Linked DNA regions of Oryctolagus cuniculus. The protein of the gene in region 3 purifies or fractionates together with the protein of the main gene of each other region. This does not show direct contact. Links are inferred from orthologs where the notes say so. Each region holds a gene or a part of one and is shown on either strand. Other genes may lie near its edges. The genes, in order: PPP2R2A, PPP2R2D, PTPDC1, PPP2CA and MAPK1.

What was found.
Region 1: the proteins of PTPDC1 (region 3) and PPP2R2A purify together in Homo sapiens (affinity purification with mass spectrometry; 4 studies listed by BioGRID and IntAct, counting the BioPlex papers as one, with this or other methods). This does not show direct contact. The link is inferred for Oryctolagus cuniculus from reciprocal best matches to the Homo sapiens genes PTPDC1 and PPP2R2A.
Region 2: the proteins of PTPDC1 (region 3) and PPP2R2D purify together in Homo sapiens (affinity purification with mass spectrometry; 5 studies listed by BioGRID and IntAct, counting the BioPlex papers as one, with this or other methods). This does not show direct contact. The link is inferred for Oryctolagus cuniculus from reciprocal best matches to the Homo sapiens genes PTPDC1 and PPP2R2D.
Region 4: the proteins of PTPDC1 (region 3) and PPP2CA purify together in Homo sapiens (affinity purification with mass spectrometry; 4 studies listed by BioGRID and IntAct, counting the BioPlex papers as one, with this or other methods). This does not show direct contact. The link is inferred for Oryctolagus cuniculus from reciprocal best matches to the Homo sapiens genes PTPDC1 and PPP2CA.
Region 5: the proteins of PTPDC1 (region 3) and MAPK1 purify together in Homo sapiens (affinity purification with mass spectrometry; 3 studies listed by BioGRID and IntAct, with this or other methods). This does not show direct contact. The link is inferred for Oryctolagus cuniculus from reciprocal best matches to the Homo sapiens genes PTPDC1 and MAPK1.

What each region holds. Positions count from the first base shown.
Region 1 is NC_091433.1:47,880,055-47,883,568, reverse strand, and holds part of PPP2R2A (serine/threonine-protein phosphatase 2A 55 kDa regulatory subunit B alpha isoform), read left to right. Parts: intron 1-2,164; coding exon 2,165-2,277; intron 2,278-3,514. UniProt on the Homo sapiens protein: Substrate-recognition subunit of protein phosphatase 2A (PP2A) that plays a key role in cell cycle by controlling mitosis entry and exit. Involved in chromosome clustering during late mitosis by mediating dephosphorylation of MKI67.
Region 2 is NC_091446.1:1,029,646-1,033,159, reverse strand, and holds part of PPP2R2D (serine/threonine-protein phosphatase 2A 55 kDa regulatory subunit B delta isoform), read left to right. Parts: intron 1-113; coding exon 114-291; intron 292-2,166; coding exon 2,167-2,331; intron 2,332-3,514. UniProt on the Homo sapiens protein: Substrate-recognition subunit of protein phosphatase 2A (PP2A) that plays a key role in cell cycle by controlling mitosis entry and exit. Involved in chromosome clustering during late mitosis by mediating dephosphorylation of MKI67.
Region 3 is NC_091432.1:145,122,011-145,125,972, reverse strand, and holds the start of PTPDC1 (protein tyrosine phosphatase domain-containing protein 1), read left to right. Parts: upstream 1-1,152; 5' UTR 1,153-1,292; coding exon 1,293-1,605; intron 1,606-2,090; coding exon 2,091-2,262; intron 2,263-3,962. UniProt on the Homo sapiens protein: May play roles in cilia formation and/or maintenance.
Region 4 is NC_091437.1:22,497,919-22,501,432, forward strand, and holds part of PPP2CA (serine/threonine-protein phosphatase 2A catalytic subunit alpha isoform), read right to left. Parts: intron 3,243-3,514; coding exon 3,033-3,242; intron 236-3,032; coding exon 62-235; intron 1-61. UniProt on the Homo sapiens protein: Catalytic subunit of protein phosphatase 2A (PP2A), a serine/threonine phosphatase involved in the regulation of a wide variety of enzymes, signal transduction pathways, and cellular events.
Region 5 is NC_091452.1:28,976,481-28,980,564, reverse strand, and holds the start of MAPK1 (mitogen-activated protein kinase 1), read right to left. Parts: upstream 2,814-4,084; 5' UTR 2,675-2,813; coding exon 2,556-2,674; intron 1-2,555. UniProt on the Homo sapiens protein: Serine/threonine kinase which acts as an essential component of the MAP kinase signal transduction pathway. MAPK1/ERK2 and MAPK3/ERK1 are the 2 MAPKs which play an important role in the MAPK/ERK cascade.

The DNA.
Region 1 (3,514 bases), on a different chromosome or scaffold from region 3:
CATTAAAAAAAAATGTCAAACTAACCTGTTGACCGTGAGTTCTGAATACATGAATATTACAGTTTCTTAATAAATTGTTGGTTTTAGCAGCTTGTTGATAAAATAGTTGTTTAGGTCTTATGTAAATCTGCATTCCCACAAGAGAGACTTTGGTAACATTGTTTTCTCTGTTACAACTTTATGCTGGAGTCAGAAAGACAAAGGAACATGTGGACTTGTGGAACACTTGAGCTGAGCTATTAGTGTTGAAAATACAGGGAAATAGCACAGAGCAACAAGTTTGGAAGGAAGAGATCTCATTGAGAGTCTAATAATCCCTTGCCCTGAAAAGTGTATATATGAGGCTGGCGCTGTGGTGTACCGGGTAAGGCCACCGCCTATAGTGCCAGCATCCCATATGGGCATTGGTTTGGGTCCCAGCTGTTCCACTTCTGATCCGGCTCTCTGCTGTGGCCTGGGAAAGCAGTGGAAGATGCCCTAAGCCCTAGGGCCCCTGCATCCACATGGGAGACCTGCAGGAAGCTCCTAGCTCCTGGCTTCAAATCGGCGCAGCTCCGGCCATTGTGGCCAACTGGGGAGTGAACCAGCAGATGGAAGACCCCCCCCCCCTTCCCTCCTTCCCTCCCTCCATCCCTCTGTCCCTGCCTCTGCCTCTGCCTCTCCTCTCTCTCTATGTAACTCTGACTTTCAAATAAATAAACCATAAAAACAGTATATATTTACATAGTCTTGTGTACAATTTTATGTACTTTGATTATTTTCATTTACCTCGTCCTAAGGACCAAAAGCTTCAGGTTAAAACAAAACAAAACAGAAAACCTCTGTAGAACATAAGGATTTCGAAATTTTTGTCATTTATTAAATTACTAATTTGTTTCTAATCTGCCTTGTCTTCAAGGTACTGCACTGAAATGATGTACTGTCATCGTACTTCTGTATCCTATGTTTATACTCTTGAAAAAAGTCTTTATCCTCCTGAGCCTCAAAATTTATCAAAATATTTTGTTTTTGGTTTAATGTGTTTTAATGTCCAATTTTTCAGGAATTTAAAAAAGAGTTCTTCCAGCATTACACTATTAGGAACCTCAAACTAAAATTGTCTTATTTGAAAGTTTGGTCACAATTTGAAATATTGTGATTTATTTATCTAATCCTTAATAGAAGTGATGAATTTAAACAAGACACAAAACAGCTAGGGGATGCATCACTTAACTGCTGGAATATTACACACATCATTACATAGGGTTTAGGAAAAAATAATAGATTACAAGTTGCAAGAGTTAGGAATCTTACTGGGTTTAGAGCTTCATATTTCAGAAAGGTATCCATTGAAATAACTCGTGTTCTTCTGTAAGAGAGAGATAGCCAGACATAAGGGGTCACTGGTATCTTGAGTTGCTTTGAACTACTTTATAAGATGACTAAAATTGTTAGACCTTCTTACTTGTGAAAGATTGGAATGTAATGATTTTATGTAAGATGCAATTTTAGTATCACACAGTATTAACTAAATGCATATGTGTCTAGGGTAATATAAACAATTGAATAAGCATATGTATGTAGATAAAGAAGCGAGATATGGCTGTAATTTGATTTGAGTATTACAAAGAGTACCATTAATGTTTAAATTTGTGATATCTGCACTGTATTTTTATGTGTATTTTTTTTTAAGACTTATTTATTTACTTGAAACTCAGAGTTACACAGAGAGAGAAGGAGAGACAGAGAGAGAGGTCTTCATCCGCTGGTTCACTCCTCAATTGGCTGCAATGGCCGGAGTTGCGCCGATCTGAAGCCAGGAGCCAGGAGCTTCTTCTGGGCCTCCCATGTGGGTGTAGGGACCCAAGGACTTGGGCCATCTTCCACTGCTTTCCTAGGCCATAGCATAGAGCTGGATTGGAAGTGGAGCATCTGGGACACGAACTGGCGCCCATATGGGATGCTGGCACTGCAGGCGGCAGCTTTACCTGCTATGCCACAGTGCTGGCCCCGTATTTACTTTTATTCACCCAGTAATAGGAAACTTCTAATTAAGCCAGTTAAGGAATTTTATAAGAAAATCCTTTTTGGAAAAATAATGAAAATCACGCGTTTAAAATGCCTTAAAATGTTTTTGTTCTATCATTGTTACTACTTTTTAAGAACTTTCTTTATTCTTCTCCAGATAAAACAATAAAATTATGGAAAATTAGTGAAAGGGACAAAAGACCAGAAGGGTATAACTTGAAAGAGGAAGATGGAAGATATAGAGATCCTACTACGGTTACTACACTACGAGTAAGTATATAAAAAATGGTTATAATTTTCATGAATAGTGATCTGTATTCTTATCATATAGGCTTAGATTCTGAGCAGAACCTGAATAGAAATAGAGTTAACCTACACCAACAATTCTGTAACCAGGTAGGACTTTGAATAATTCCCATTTAAATACAAAAATTGACATACATAGAGGCCCCACTGTAGCCAGGGCAGGACTAGAACTCAAAACAGAAGGCTGCTTTACACTACACACTCCCGCTCTCATAGTTGGAATGTCAGCTATTACAAGATTAAGCTTCAAGATTAATTCTATTTGGAGACCAAAAACTAGGGATGGGCCAAATTATACAATTGTAGCTAAAACTGTCCAGAATTAAATGCTATGGAATTATTTCCTATTTAGCCTTAAATTGCTGTGAACTGTAAGTACTTGTTAGCATTGTACTTCCTCAAGCAAATGATTTTGAACCAAGAAGAACTGCAAATTCTAATAGTATTGCTGCCAGTAAAAGAAGGTGAATTGTGGGACATCAGGTTAAGCTCCTTTTTGGGATGCCCATACCCCATATTGGTGTGCATGAATCAAATCTCACCTCCACTTCCTACCCAACCGCCTGCTAATTTGCACCCAGGTAGGCAGGTGATATAATTCTTGACTCCTGACTTCAACCTGGCCCAGCTCTTGCTGTTGCAGGCATTTGGAAAGTGAACCAGCAGAAACAAGATATCTATTATTTTCTCTCTGTTCTTTCAAATAAATTTAAAAAGTAAATAAACTTTAAGATAAATTGTCCAGGAGCCAGGCCGTGGTGCAGCAGCTTAAGCTGCCACCTGCAGTGCTGGCATCCCATATTGTTGCTGGTTCAAGTCCCCACTGCTCCACTTCTGGTCCAGCTTTCTGCTAATGCACCTGGGAAAAGCAGCAGAAGATGACCCAAGTATTTGGGCCCCTGCCACCCCCATGAGAGACCTAGAAGAAGCTCCTGTCACCTGTCTTCTGGCTGGCCCAGCCCTGGTTGTTGGCAGCCATTTGGGGGGAGCGAATCAGCAGATGGAAGATCACTCTCTCTCTAACTCTGCCTTTAAAAAAAAATTAAAGATATGTTCATTTTCTGCTGATTTGAACAATTTAAGGAGTCATCATCAGTTCATTTTTAAAGCTAATCTATGTAATATTGTACCATTCTTTGTCCTCTCAAAAATTACAGTAATGAAGTGTTCTGAGCCTTATGTGCTATTTGAAGCAGTGAAC
Region 2 (3,514 bases), on a different chromosome or scaffold from region 3:
GCTGGTGGGGGACTGGGCGTGTGCTCTGCACGACACCAGCTCTCGGCCGTGAAGGTCTGTCCCAGTCCCTGCTATGTGGTCGTCATTTCAATTCCTGTGCCTTCCGTTTACAGGTCCCCATCTTGAAGCCCATGGACCTTATGGTGGAAGCCAGCCCGCGGCGGATCTTTGCGAATGCTCACACGTATCACATCAATTCCATTTCAGTGAACAGTGACCACGAGACGTATCTCTCTGCAGATGACCTGCGAATTAACCTGTGGCACCTGGAAATCACGGACAGAAGTTTCAGTATCCTTCCCCGCACATCCCATGCCTGCTTCTTTCTTTCTTTTTTTAAGATTTACTTATTTATTTGAAAGTCAGAGTTACACCAAGAGAGAAGGAGAGGCAGGGCCGGGGGTCTTCCACCCGCTGGTTCACTCCCCAGATTGCGCCAGTCTGAAGGCAGGAGCCAGGAGCTCCCTCCAGGTCTCCCACACGGGTGCAGGGGCCCAAGAACAAGGGCCATCTTCCACTGCTTTCCCAGACCGCTATAGCAGAGAGCTGGATCGGAAGTGGAGCAGCCAGGACTTGAGCTGGCGCCCATACAGGATGCCACACTGCAGGCAGCGGCTCTACCCGCTGTGGCACAGCGCTGGCCCCTGCTTCTCAGTCTCACCGCACGCTGCACACTGCTTAGAGCCAGTGCTGTAAGTTCCCCGTGAGATAAAGCACTTTTCCCTGAGAACACGGCGTTGTTCTGCCTTTGGGGGAGGTTCTCAGTGTGCTGGGAATGACCCGAAGGCCGTGGCCCGCGTGGCTCCGCCAGTGGCAGTGTTGACCAGGCTGTGTTGCGTGTTTTTTCTTCTACATTGCTGACAGATCATGAAATGGCGGAAGCTTAGACGAGGGTGACGAGGGTGGCATTTCACTCCCTGCCTGGGAGCAGTGTGGCGTGGGGCTTGCGCTGCCTCCGGGCAGTCAGTCGTCAGCCGTGGCCTCGTGCCCTCCGTCGCCTGTCCGGCTGCTGCGCCCGGGGCCATGTGGATTCTGGGCAGAGCCCCAGCCCTGCTCACACATGCTCTGGAGACTCGGCCTCCTGCCCGTGCTGCCCCGCACTGAGGTCACGGGCCTGGCTGGGCAGCTCCTCACGCTGAGCCCTGCAGCCTTCCCGGAACCTGCTGCCTCCTCTCGGACTCGCTGGGCCCCTCGTGGGCTCCCCCCGCCCCGTGGCCCGCACGTGCCCCAGCCAGCAGGCCGGGCAGACAGGGCTCACTGTGCATCTCTCCCTGCCCGCTGTCGGTGTCGGTGACTTCCCCTGGACAGCCGCGGGCTAGTCTCTCCGGCACAGCTGCAGCGGGCGGCCAGGCTGACCCATCGTGGAATCCTGACTTCCCTCTTGTCTCAGTTGACTGGTTTCTACGTGGACGTGGCTCCAAGTATTCAGAGCAAGCTCTCCATGTCAGATAATCAGATTCTCTGTGGCAGTATTGGGTGTGTATTGGGTGTGTGTAGCGTGCGTCTGTTACTTTTTCTTGGTGGTTAAACACACGCTGAGAACAGCAGAGAGGTGGTCCCTGCATGGCCCTCCGTGCTCCGTCGTCTGTTAGCGGGCTCACGCCTGCCCCCCTCTGTCCCGTCCCTGCATGGCCCTCCGTGCTCCGTCGTCTGTTAGCGGGCTCACGCCTGCCCCCCTCTGTCCCGTCCCTGCATGGCCCTCCGTGCTCCGTCGTCTGTTAGCGGGCTCACGCCTGCCCTCTGTCCCGTCCCTGCCATGACCCTCCGTGCTCCGTCGTCTGTTAGCGGGCTCACGCCTGCCCCCCTCTGTCCCGTCCCTGCATGGCCCTCCGTGCTCCGTCGTCTGTTAGTGGGCTCACGCCTGCCCCCCTCTGTCCCGTCCCTGCATGGCCCTCCGTGCTCCGTCGTCTGTTAGCGGGCTCACGCCTGCCCTCTGTCCCGTCCCTGCATGACCCTCCGTGCTCCGTCGTCTGTTAGCGGGCTCACACCTGCCCTCTGTCCCGTCCCTGCATGGCCCTCCGTGCTCCGTCGTCTGTTAGCGGGCTCACGCCTGCCCTCTGTCTGGTGGCTGCTTTGCTCTGAGCCTTCCACCTCCCTGTGTGGTGACGTGTTCCCTGTTGAGGGCAAACTTGGCGCTGAGCCCTGAGCCTTAACGCTGCTCCGCAGACATCGTGGACATCAAGCCCGCGAACATGGAGGAGCTGACGGAGGTCATCACGGCGGCCGAGTTCCACCCGCACCAGTGCAACGTGCTCGTCTACAGCAGCAGCAAGGGCACCGTGCGGCTGTGCGACATGCGCTCGTCCGCCCTGTGCGACAGGCACGCCAAATGTGAGTGTCCCGCGGCCACCAGACAGGCGGCTCCCTGGGGCCCACACGGCAGGCTCCCGGCGGGCAGTGCTGTCTCCCTCGGAGCACTAGCGCCTGGGCCGGGCTGCGAGAGCGCGTCTCACCAGTGAGCTCTGCTGGACCTGGAGCCAGGTCCCTGAGGTCTGGCGTTCGAATGCGTGCAGTCATGAGAAGAACGGTGGTGGCTTTGTTCTTACTTGGCCCGACTCTGTGGAAAACCACAGTCTGCCATGGTGTTTGGAGACAGGCGTCCTGGAAACCTTGCTGGTCCTCCCCCAGGCCGGGCAGGAGCAGGTGCAGCTGCGCCCGCGGAGCAGAGCGCACTCACCAGCCCCAGAGCCGCCAGGCAGCGCCTGTGGGACCTCTGTCAGCTGCAGCCTCAGGCACCCTTGCTCATCCTCACCCATTGACTCTAGCTGTTGACAGCTTTCTGCCTCGCTCTCTTCCTCAGACTAAGTGTGTTAAGGATTCGGCACCCCTGGGGAGAGTGTGTGGCACGGTGGTTTAAGCCATCCCTTGGGAAGCCTGCATCCCACATTGGAGTGCCTGCAGCCAGGCCCCAGCTCTGCTTCCAGTCCAGCTTCCTGCTAATGCAGACGCCCGGAGGCAGCAGTGAGGCCCCAAGTGCGGGGTCTCTGCCCCCCACCCACAAGGGAGACTGGTCCTGGCTTCAGCCTGGCCCAGCCCCAGCTAGTCTTGGGCATTTGGGAAGCAAACCTGCGAACAGAAGCTGTCTCTGTCTTCCTCTCTGCCTTTCAAATAAATAAAAGTAAACTTAAAAGGGGGCGTTCTGTGCTCCTGTGCCTGCTACAGGGGCCTGCGGCGCAGAAACCCTGTCCCATGGCACTTGGGGAGGGGCCGTGTCCTCTGATGCCTGCCCGTGTCTTCATGGTGGCACCTAGAGCAGTTTCCTGTTCCTGAAAGTAAAGCTTTGTTTTTGATTGGAAAGACAGCTAGAGATCTGCCATCTGCTGATCCACTCAGATGCTGCAACAGCCGGGGCCGGGCCAGGCTGAAGCTGGGAGCCCAGAACTCCCATCTGCGTCCGTGTGTGACTGACAGGGCCCACCTGCTGTCTCCCAGGGTGTGCCCTGCAGGAAGTCGGGTTGGACTGGAACGCACTCCGACAAGGCGCATGGCGTGCCGAGCGCTGTCCTAGCCCTTG
Region 3 (3,962 bases):
TGTTCCCATGTGGCCCTTAGGGGCCCTGCCTAGAATACTGCTCAGAGCATTCCTCCAGGCAGAGAAGCTTTCTGAATTGGTGATATTAAAAAAAAAGAAAAGAAAAGAAAAGAAAGGAACTCTTCTTCCGTTGCTGTGTACCAAATAACAAGGGCATAATACTACACATGGAGTAGGAATTTGGGCACCAACTTGGGCTTCTGTGTTTCTGCCTTGTTTGACAAAAGTATATATTGTTGGGGACACGGGGGTGGCATTTTAAAAGGCTTGCTTATCGCATTAGTAATTGTTAAAACAGAAGAGGGCTTTATCTATGGCAGTAGTTTGTTCCATCCGCACACGACTAAAATACCGTTTGTTCAGAGAAGGAGTGAGTGAGAGCAAGCGCGGGCGCAGCCTGACATTAACCAGGGAGGAGGCGGACAATGAATGCATTGGCGGTTGTTGCAGTTTCTGTTTTCTTTATATCCTTTATACTCAATTTGCAACCTCCCCCTCATCTAGTTCCTTAAAAAATGTGATCCTTAGTGAGTTTTGTTCATATACATCCGCCAAGGCATTATGGAAGCAGCTTCTTGCCTCATAGCAAAAAAAGACAGGAAGTTGTGCTTGAGTTTGTGAGAGGCTGACTGCTCTCAGTTACTCAGACTCACAACTAGTAGCTGTCATCCGGCAGAGACATTACCAGGAATTGGGTTTTCATGCTCCGAAAATAAAAATATGAAATTAAACGTCTTCTGCTAATGCATGCCCTCTAAAATGTCCTTGTTCTACCCAAGTGTTTCTTTAGGAGTTCTATCAAGAAAATATAGAGTGTATTTGGTTATGAAAATTCTATTTTTTCCTAATGTTGTAAGGCATCAAGCATATCCCACTTTATTAGAATTAACTTTTTGTCCACTCTATCCCAGGGAGGACTAGGAAGAATCTTTCAAAACTATCCAGAGAATAGCTAGGAAAGGAATAACAGAATTTAAACCTATTCATAGGTGTAAAAGGCAGTGATTGCGTCATGAAAACATTTCTTATTTCATTACAGTCTTTTGGAGGTAATTCTGAGTGGTCAGAACTCTTTAAGTATGTTTGAGAAAGAAAATAAAGTAGTCTAGATTTGGGATAATCTACTTAGAATACACATTACTCTTCCGTATATTTGAACAATTTGTCCAAAACACAATCCGTTGGTGTAGAATTTTGCCTGTTCAGATCTAAGTGGGAATCAGTACTTTCTTTGTTTGTCACTATGGAAACGAGTCAGCCTATCCTGAATAGCTCTTAGATCATACAGAGCGATGCCCGTGTCTCCACACACTTCCTCGCTGAGCAGCCGGGGCTGTCTTCTCCCTGCCTCCAGCTCTCCCCTCCCCGGGGCCAGCGCCATGCAGGTACAGGAGGCACCACGGCGGCCCTCAGCTGTGCACTTCCTCAGTGCCTTTTTGCAGGGTCGCCGCCACTCTACCTCAGACCCAGTTGTGCGGCTGCAGCAGGCCCGGCGGGGCTCCGGCTCTGCCACGAAGCTGCTGTCCTCGTCCTCTCTGCAGGTGATGGTGGCTGTGTCCTCTGTGAGCCGTGGTGAAGGGAACCCAACTTTCCCGGAGAGAAAAAGTAAAGCCGTCTTTCTTCTTTTACATTGTCACACCTTTGTGTCTAAATTTAAGGGAATGGGACTGGGCTGTGTTGTTTTTGCCTTTCTAAAAATTGACAGGTGATTCTATTGTATACTTCTTACTTTCTGTTGTGCTAAGAATTTTAGTGAATATATAAAAGGAGGTAAAATGATTGTTTTCTGTTTTCTCATTAGAAATGTAATTTTTGAACAAAATATCCTCTTTTAAAAGATTTCCTTCACAGCTTCTTCCTTCTCACCACCAGTGTAATGTTTGGAGATTATTTAGTGAAAGCTTTTTTTTTTTTTTTAATAGATAATGCGCTTAGGTGAAAAGGAAACAGTTTTCTTTTCTTGATTTGATGAAAGGGACTTACCACTGGCTGATCATCTTCAATCCTGAGATAAAATGGAAGCTGTTTCCCATGTTGCCATTACATTTGGAGAGTGGAATTTGGAATCTTTCCTTCCTTGTATGTTCTAGGAAATTCAGGACGCCCAACACCAAAGTACACGAAAGTGGGCGAACGTTTACGGCATGTCATCCCCGGACATATGGCGTGTTCCATGGCATGTGGCGGCAGAGCGTGCAAGTATGAGAACCCAGCCCGTTGGAGCGAGCAGGAGCAAGCCATTAAGGGGGTGTACTCATCCTGGTGAGTGAGTGGTCATGTGGGTGCCTGCAGCCACACGCGATAAAGGAGGTGAGGGAGGAGTGTGGGAAGAGCCAGGCAGGCCTTTGGAGTCAGGGGTCCCGCCTCCATCCCTGACTTTGCCGCCAACCAGCCATGTGATCCTGAACTACTGAGCCCCAGTTTCCTTATCTGTGAAATGGAAATAATGAAACCAAAACTAAAGGTTTTTTTAGTTAAGTGAAATGTGCAAATATCTTAAATGTACAATTACATAGCTCTTAAGTTTCAAAAATTGCTAGAAATAGTAAAACTTTTGTGATGCAAGTTAAAGGGAACGATAAGGTATACGTATAGTTTTCCAGTTACATTCGGGTGAGCTTTAGCCTTACTTCTATAGTGTTCCTGTGTTCTGTACGAAAGGGCACATCTTCACCCATTATGCTTCAGTTTGCCTTTGTACAAGTTGCCAGCTTTTGTTGGAGATGTTTCTTGGTCAGTTTATTAGCTTGTAACTTGTACTTTTTCATATTGGATTTGCTGGATATATCTGCAGGGGTGCAGTCTGGAATCTGCCTTCATTACTGTTCTCCACAGATCATATTCTGGTCTATCACTGTTACAGCAACGGTGTAAAGAAGCAGATATTATTCCTGAGACATAATTAGACAAGTACATTTCAAACAATGTCACTCAAGATCACATTAATCTTTCTGCTTTATTGTTGACCAAAGTGTGTACAGAGTCCTTTTCACCTCTGCTGCTTCATATCATACCCTCCTCATCTTAAGCTAAGTACTATTTAGTTTGGGGGGTCCCAAACCTTTCAGGTCAGTCCGTACTAAATTTCATGAGGGGGAGGTGTCTTTTGTGGTCTGCCATGCTAACCTGATGTCTCCATTATTCCTCTGAGATTGGGTGACCCACAACTTCCTGTAGACCACCTTCCATTTCTTTCTCCAGACTACTGGTTAGAAACTTAACCAAAGTGCAGCCAGAGCCCAGAGGCCTAGTGAGAATGGCAGCCCTTTATTGGGCCTCTGTCATTAGCTTGGTAAACATCCCTTTGGCTATCAGCTGGGCACTGTACCAGCTGCTTTCAAATTATTATCTCTCCTCTTCATAAAATTCATAGGAGTTGTTACTGCCATGTTATTGGTGAAGGAATTGAGTTCTAGAGAAAGCAATTTGCAGAGTTTCTAGAAAGCAGCATTTGAAGCACTTTCCTTTTACATTGTATCGAATTGTCACACCCACCCTGGGAGGCGGCAGTAGTATCCCCATTTAATACCACCGGTAACAGATGCAGTTAGTTGAGTAATTAGAAGTGCACCTTTGGCCTTTTCCTTTGGTCGCGCTGTTAGATGACTAATCCAGACTATTACCTTTGCCACCACCTGAGCTTTCTTTTCCTTTTTTTTTTCTTAAAGATTTTATTTTTTTATTTGAGAGGTAGAGTTACAGACAGTGAGAGGGAGAGACAGAAAGAAAGGTCTTCCTTCCATTGGTTCACTCTCCTAATGGCAGCTACAGCTGGAGCTGTGCTGATCTGAATCCAGGACCCAGGTGCTTCCTCCTGGTCTCCCATGTGGGTGCAGGGGTCCAAGGACTTGGGCCATCTTCTACTGCTTTCCCAGGTCACAGCAGAGAGCTGGATTGGAAGAGGAGCAGCCGGGACTATAACCAGCACCCATATGGGATGCCGGCACCGCAGGCGGAGGATT
Region 4 (3,514 bases), on a different chromosome or scaffold from region 3:
ATCTTTACAAAAAAAAAAAAAAAAAAAAAAAAAAAAAAAAAAAAAGGTTTGAGACATATACCTGCCCATCCACCAAGGCAGTGAGAGGAAGATAGTCAAAAAGATCTGTAAAATATTTCCAAACATTTGCGTTTCCATATTTTCTTAAACATTCATCATAGAAACCATAAACCTGTGTGATCTGTCTGCTCTCATGATTTCCTCGAAGAATGGTGATGCGTTCACGGTAACGAACCTACAACAACAGAATGGAAACCATGAAACAGCTTTCAAACACCAAAGGAACATTCAGGAAACTTTCTGAAACCCAGTTTTAATCATTCCATTCCCCCAATAAGAGTCCCTCCTGTCTGTCTACACTCACTCCCTACTCCCATGCTCCTACCATCCAATGATTTATCTGAGACTGCCTTTTCTACAAACTCCATAAGAAACAGAATAATGCAAAAAAAAACAAAAAAAAAAACAAAAAAACACACACAAAAAAAAACAAAAACAAAAACACATAGCTTCTGCACTAAACACCACTCAGAATATGTTCAAGGCTTATCCGTGCTGCAGTATAGATCAGTGGTTTGTTCCTCTGTGCAGCTGCAGTCTTTCACAGTACCGTTATACGGCATATTCTGTATTCATGGGTAGGAGGCACTGTTGAGTAGCTTCTTTCCTTTCTTTAGGCTATTTTGAATTTTTGCCACGATCACCTGTGTACAGTTTTTGAAGACATACGCTTTCATTTCTCTTAGACAGATTTCCAGAATATAATTTGCTTATAGTAAGTTATGCTTCACCTGTTGACAATCATTCAAAGTGACTAGACCCTTTCACATTCTCACAAGCAATGAACCAGGATGCTAATCTCTCCACATACTCACAAATACTCGGTACCTGAGCCATGCAAAATGGTATCTCATTGTGACTTGAATTTGCATTTTCCTGTTGACTAATGACGTTGTGTTTTTGTTTTCATGTACTTACCAGTCATGTATCTGCTGGGGTGAAATCTATTCAAGTATTTGTCTTTTATAAAATATCTGTTGTATTAAGGATTTTTGGAAAAAAAAATCTCAAATACATATTTTTGTTCTTAGTAATATTTTCTGAACAAAAAACCTTACTTTTTTATGAGGTCTGGTTTTTCTTTTTTTTTAAATTGATTTCCTTTTGTTAATATCTAAGAAATCTCTCAAGACCAGGAAGATTTTCTATGTTTTAACCTAGAAATCTTACAGCCATAATTCTCATATTCAGGTCTGTAATTCACTTTTATCCATCTGTCTCAGCACTACCGGCTGAAAGGACAATCCTTCCCCCACTCCTGTCTGCTCTAGCTGCTGTAACACCGCGCCATAACAGAGGAGCAGCTTAAGCAACAGAAACCTGGCGTCAGCACAGTTGGGTTTCTCTGCAGACCTCTGTGTCTGCTTTACAGAAGGGCATCGGCTCTATTTGTCTTCTCATTTTCTTCCCTGTGTCCTATCTCTTACAAGAACACCACTCATATGGGAGTAAGGTCCAGTCACATGACCCCATTTTACCTCAATCACCTCTGTAAAGGTCTCAGCTCCAACAGTCACATTCTGAGGTATTATAGGTTGGGAATTCAAAGTATGAATTCCGAGAGGACACAATTCAGCCTGTTACACCCACTTGCATCAATTCTTAAAAGGTGGCACATTCACTCTTCTCCTGGGATTCAGCCTGGGTCTACAGCACAGCTAGCTGCACACTGCTCTCACACAATCTTCCACCGCCCAGTCTCATGTCTTCATTTATAGAGGCAGAACACAATGGCCTCCAGAAATGTACCTAACATTTCCATGAGTTCAATACTAATTACCCATAATCAGCCCTTGCTGAAAGCACAACGCACTGCTTCTTTAATGTTAGAAAAGTCTATGGCAGACATTTTATCATTCTTTCTACTCTTTAATGAGACTGAATCCCAGAAAAAGAAAAAATTCCCCCTGAAGGGCAAGTCAGTTTCTTTTGGGAAAAGCTGAAACCGGCCACCTTCAGAGCTTATTTTCAGCTTTGCTTCATCTGCCTCCTGTCAACTGTGGACTTTGCAAAGCTGCATCTGATACTCAAATGATTTTGCAACTTCCCTTCTTCAATTACCATTTCCACTATCTACATTATGTCATGTTTAACAGCCACAAACTATTCTACCTCAATAAACCCTAATTTGTGGATATTTAGATGAGTACTTTCTTTTTCTGGTATTAAATACTACAATTTATTTACACAAAAATCTTTTCCTCTTCTATTTCTTCCTCAGCACCATTCTAATTACAGGATTTCTGTCAGAGGATATAAACATTCTAACATTTGATCCATTTGTACCTTTACAATATTTTGAAACTAACTAGGAAGGTAACAACTACCTTTCCATACCTGAATCTACTGAATACATTTCTATTTGGCTAGCCCTCTAAGACTGTTCAAACAATCTAAGGCATTATCTTCTCCCCACTTTTTCATTCTGTCCCAACCCTATGCTTGGAATGCAGAATCCTATAAACGTAAAACCTGAATAATTTGCATTTCTCAAGAGAATTTTGTTCTAAAATGTAACATTTAGTTAAGAGGAAAAAAATAATTACTAGGAAACAACAATCAAGAGAACTGTCTTGAGCCGGCGCCGTGGCTCAATAGGCTAATCCTCCACCTTGCGGCGCCGGCACACCGGGTTCTAGTCCCGGTTGGGGCACCGGATTCTGTCCCGGTTGCCCCTCTTCCAGGCCAGCTCTCTGCTATGGCCAGGGAGTGCAGTGGAGGATGGCCCAGGTGCTTGGGCCCTGCACCCCATGGGAGACCAGGAAAAGCACCTGGCTCCTGGCTCCTGCCAGGATCAGCGCGGTGCGCCGGCTGCAGCGGCGGCCATTGGAGGGTGAACCAGCGGCAAAGGAAGACCTTTCTCTCTCTGTCTCTCTCTCTCACTGTCCACTCTGCCTGTCAAAAAAAAAAAAAAAAAAAAAGAGAGAACTGTCTTACCCAGTTCAAAATAATCAAACATAAGCTGAAATTACCTTAAGAGCTACAAGCAGTGTAACTGTTTCAACGGAGTAATATCCTCTGTCAACATAATCTCCCATAAACAAGTAATTTGTGTCTGGTGATTTGCCACCAATTCTAAACAGTTCCATGAGATCGTGAAATTGCCCATGCACATCTCCACAGACAGTAACTGGACATCGAACCTCTTGCACGTTGGATTCTTTTGTCAGGATTTCTTTAGCCTACAGACAAAACCATAAAACAATATTTAGTATGAAATGACATTAACAAAGATACACTGAATTATATTTAATGCAGCTTAAGAGGCAAACTTGGTTTAAGATGAAATTGTCAGAATTTATGATCCTATTAAAAATAAGACATCAGATGGCTAGACTATTCCTTTGCTATCTCATCTCCGAAACCTAGAAAAAAATGTTATCAGGATGCACAGCCCATTCCCATCAATAATAGGAATGTTCAAGCCTGTCAAATGGCCATCTGATTACATACC
Region 5 (4,084 bases), on a different chromosome or scaffold from region 3:
GGAGTGCAGTGGAGGATGGCCCAAGTGCTTGGGCCCTGCACCCCACGGGAGACCAGGAGAGGCACCTGGCTTCGGATTAGCGCAGTGCACCGGCCGTGGTGCGCCGGCCACGGCAGCCATTGGAGGGTGAACCAATGGCAAAAAGGAAGACCTTTCTCTCTGTCTCTCTCTCTCTCTCACTGTCCACTCTGCCTGTCAAAAAAAAAAATAAATAAATAAATAAAAAATTTAACCACGAAGTCCTCCATAACCCCAGCACTGTATTTATCAAAAGCCAAACAATGTGCAGTATAGATTAACGGCAGGTTGTATCACCAACTTGCAATAATCTGTAATCTGGGCCCACGATTCAAATGTCAATTATATTTGTTTTATTTCAAAAGAGAAAATTACAGCAAGAGAAGTTAGCACTTCAACTGGAGACAGAGGTTGGATTAGTCTACAGCAGTGACAGAAACAGCTTCTAAATCGACATCACCCTCAGATTAAAGAAAAAAATCTCATCAGCTAAGGGAAAAAAATGCTTTCAACTGACATATCCTAAAGATTTTTTTTCAGTTCATATTTTATATAATTAAAGGGGGGAGGGGTGTCAAAGGGCATGACGGGCAATCCTGAGCCTCTCATGAGATAGTCACTGGTGTACTCACCAGCAGGCATGACAACAATAACACGTGTGACACAGAAGGGATACCAGGGGCAGTACTTTCTTTATTTTTTAAATTATTTTAATTTTTTGACAGGCAGAGTGGACAGTGAGAGAGAGAGACAGAGAGAAAGGTCTTCTTTTTGCCGTTGGTTCACCCTCCAATGGCCGGCGCGGCCGGCGCACCGCGCTGATCTGATGGCAGGAGCCAGGTGCTTCTCCTGGTCTCCCATGGGGTGCAGGGCCCAAGCACTTGGGCCATCCTCCACTGCACTCCCGGGCCACAGCAGAGAGTTGACCTGGAAGAGGGGCAACTGGGACAGAATCCGGTGCCCCGACCGGGACTAGAACCTGGGGTGCCGGTACCGCAGGTGGAGGATTAGCCTAGTGAGCCGTGGCGCCGGCCTCCAGTACTTTTTCAGAGCCTAATTTCTTTCAGGCCTGACCTAATTTCTCTTTTCACTTCTTAGCTGGGGTGGGGGTGGGGGTGGGGGTGGGGGTGGGGGGAAGTCATGCTAATTTTCACAGCTGTATACTGGGGAGCAATTCGCTCCTAAAGCAAACGAAAACATGCAGGATTCAATTATTCAAAAATAATTCCAACTACTTCTATCTAGTCAAGGTGATTGGTAAAGCAAGTGCTCCATGGCATTTCTGAAGTCATCATCACTCAGATTTGCATACGTTTCTTAAACAGACTCGCACACAGCAGTAAAAGAGGCTAAAAATCCCGAAATTATCACTGATGCTATTTTAAGGGACGCTGGGTGTACCACAAAGATCTCAGGCTTCAATCTCAAGACTGACACTTTCTTCTATGACCTTAGAAAATTGGCACCTAACAGAGGGATATTACCAGCTTTTCCTTTGGGGTGGGGTGGGGGGGCTGTTCAAATAAAATACGGATGTGGCACACAGTAAGGGGCACGAAGCAGTCCACAAATTAGTGCTCAGTTACTTCATTCATCAGGAAAAGACACACTCATGAGACTGAGAAGCAGGAGAATCTACTTCTGCACGAAGCGCCTCTTCCGAGGGAGCCTTGCGTGTGACTGTGCAAAAAAAGTCCCCGAAAGGCGGAATGTATACACTGACCGCTAAAATACCAACAGCAAAACCCTCGGTCCTCGGGCCAACACGACAGGATGCATCTATACTGGTTAGGAGCTCACCTGAGAGGAGGGAAGAGAGGGAGAGGAAAAAAAAAAAAAAAAAAAGAGCAAATTGGGCCCAACTGCAAGCAGATTTAATAAACCAAGAGGGATGCCGGCTGCTTATTCCTGAAACGCACGGTAACACATGCATGCCCGTTTAAACATTAAAAAAAAAAAAAAAACTGCAAGACGAATTCTTCATACAAGCCACACTGCCGACCTGGGTGCTTTTTCGGAAGGCCTGCTCAGGCGAGCACCAGCTAACGACCGCTGAGGGACAGACACTTCACGCACAGCCGGCCGCCGTTCCGCACACACGCAGGGTCCAACCGCGTCCAAGCCCAGGGCCATGCATCTGACGGCATTCCCGGCTTCGCGAGCACCCCGGGGCGCGACGGATGCTTCCGTTCCCCTCCTGGGCTGGGGATCGGGAATCTGGGCTTGCAATCTACATTTCTGAAATCTTGGGGGGTGGGGTGGAGGAGCCGGGCTGGAAACCCAGCGGCTATCCGGTGCAGGGCGTCCGCGGGTCCCGGCCTCCGCCCCCCTGCGGCGAGCGAGGGCCCGGCCCGGGACCGGCCACCGGCCACGAGCAGCGACATCTTAAACCTCGAGCCGGGGCCCTGCCCGAGGGAGCCCGGGACTGGGGTCGACCGCTGCGCGGGAGGCCGAGACGCGGGCGAGGCCGCGGCGCATCCGCTGCAGCCCCGGGCGGGGGAGCGGGCCAGGCCTGCGGGGCGGGCGCCGACACTCACCACACCATGCCGTAGGCGCCCTCGCCGATGTACGAGAGGTTGGTGTAGCGCGGCCCCACGTCGAACACCTGCCCGCGGACCATCTCCGGGCCCGTGCCCGCCGCCGCCGCCGCCGCCATGTTGGCTGCCGGGCCGCCGCCGCCGCGCTGGGCTCGACGCTCCGCGGCCGCCGCTCCGCTCCCGCCGCGCTTCCCCAAGGGACCGCGCCGCCGTCCGTGCAGCCGCCGCAGCTGACCGCCAAAGAGGCAGGACGGCGCCGCTTTCGGGGAAGCGGAGAGCCGACGTCCGCTCGCCTCGACTGCCCGTCTCACTTACTGACTGACGGGCGGGCCCGCGGGCGGAGGGAGGGGCGCGCGCCGAGCAGGGCGCCGGGGCGGGGCCGAGCAGCGTGCTCGAGGATTGGCTGCCTGCGGCTGGGGGCGGGGCCGCGCGGGCCGGCGGAAGCGGCGAGCTCAGGGCGGAGCGCTGCGGCGGCGGCGGCGGCGGCGGCGGCGGCTGCGGAGGAGGCGCCGAAGGGCGCGGTCACGTGCGTTCGCTGGTGAGTCGGCGCGGGAGGCGGCTGAGGAGACGCTGAGAGCGGAATGGGGAGACGGGGCGTCACGGGGCTGACCCTGAGGGGCCGGGGCTGGGGCCGGGCGGCGAGCTCGGGCAGTGCGGGGGAAGACGAACGACGCTGCACACGTGGGCTTCGGGCCCTCTGGGGCCCAAACGCTCTGAACAACTTAGGAGGTGTGGAGATTATGTTAGGAACCAGAATACGTGGTCCAGACCGAAGAAGAGATTTGAGTACTGAGAACGTGTGAGACAGGAGAGGCCGAGTGGGTCTGCCCTTAGATCCGCCCTCGTAGAAGATAACTTCCGGAGAGAGGTTTCTCAGGCTGAGGTACTTTCTATGGAGAAATGTCAAGCAGAGTAAGGGGCAGAGAGGAGTGGGTTGAGACACCTGAGGAAGACTCGAGTTGCCACTGTGAGACCGAGACCCATGTTAGGCCGGATGGACATGAGCTTTGAGACGTAGAACGTACTGAGCTGGAAACACCAGGGTGGAATCGCTAAAACCAATAGTCACAGACACATGAGAGGCTGAAAATTAAAAAACTGCAATCTTGAAGCAGACGGATGCCAAGGAAGCTCAGGCCACGCGGTGGAAGATGGGCCAGCCACCGCCTCGGAACCATTTCCTTGCCGTCTGCAGAGGGAAGTGAGAAGGCAGACTCCCCTCATAGCCTTCAGAGCTGCTAATTCGAGACGGCTGGAAATCAATAAAGATTAGCCAGTCAGTCTGGCGCGTTAAAAGCCCTGTGGGAGAGAAAAAAAATAGTGTTACATAAGGGGAAAAAAGTGCTACACCCAAAAGTGAGTTCAAATGTTAGTCCGTGAAGCAGAACCCAATTTTGAAAACACCTAATTCTTATTCTTGATTCTGAAAGGACATTGCATCTCTTTTTAAAAACAGGATGATGAGGCCGGCGCCGCGGCTCAGTAGGCTAATCCTCCACCTTGCGGCGCCGGCACACCGGGTTCTAGTC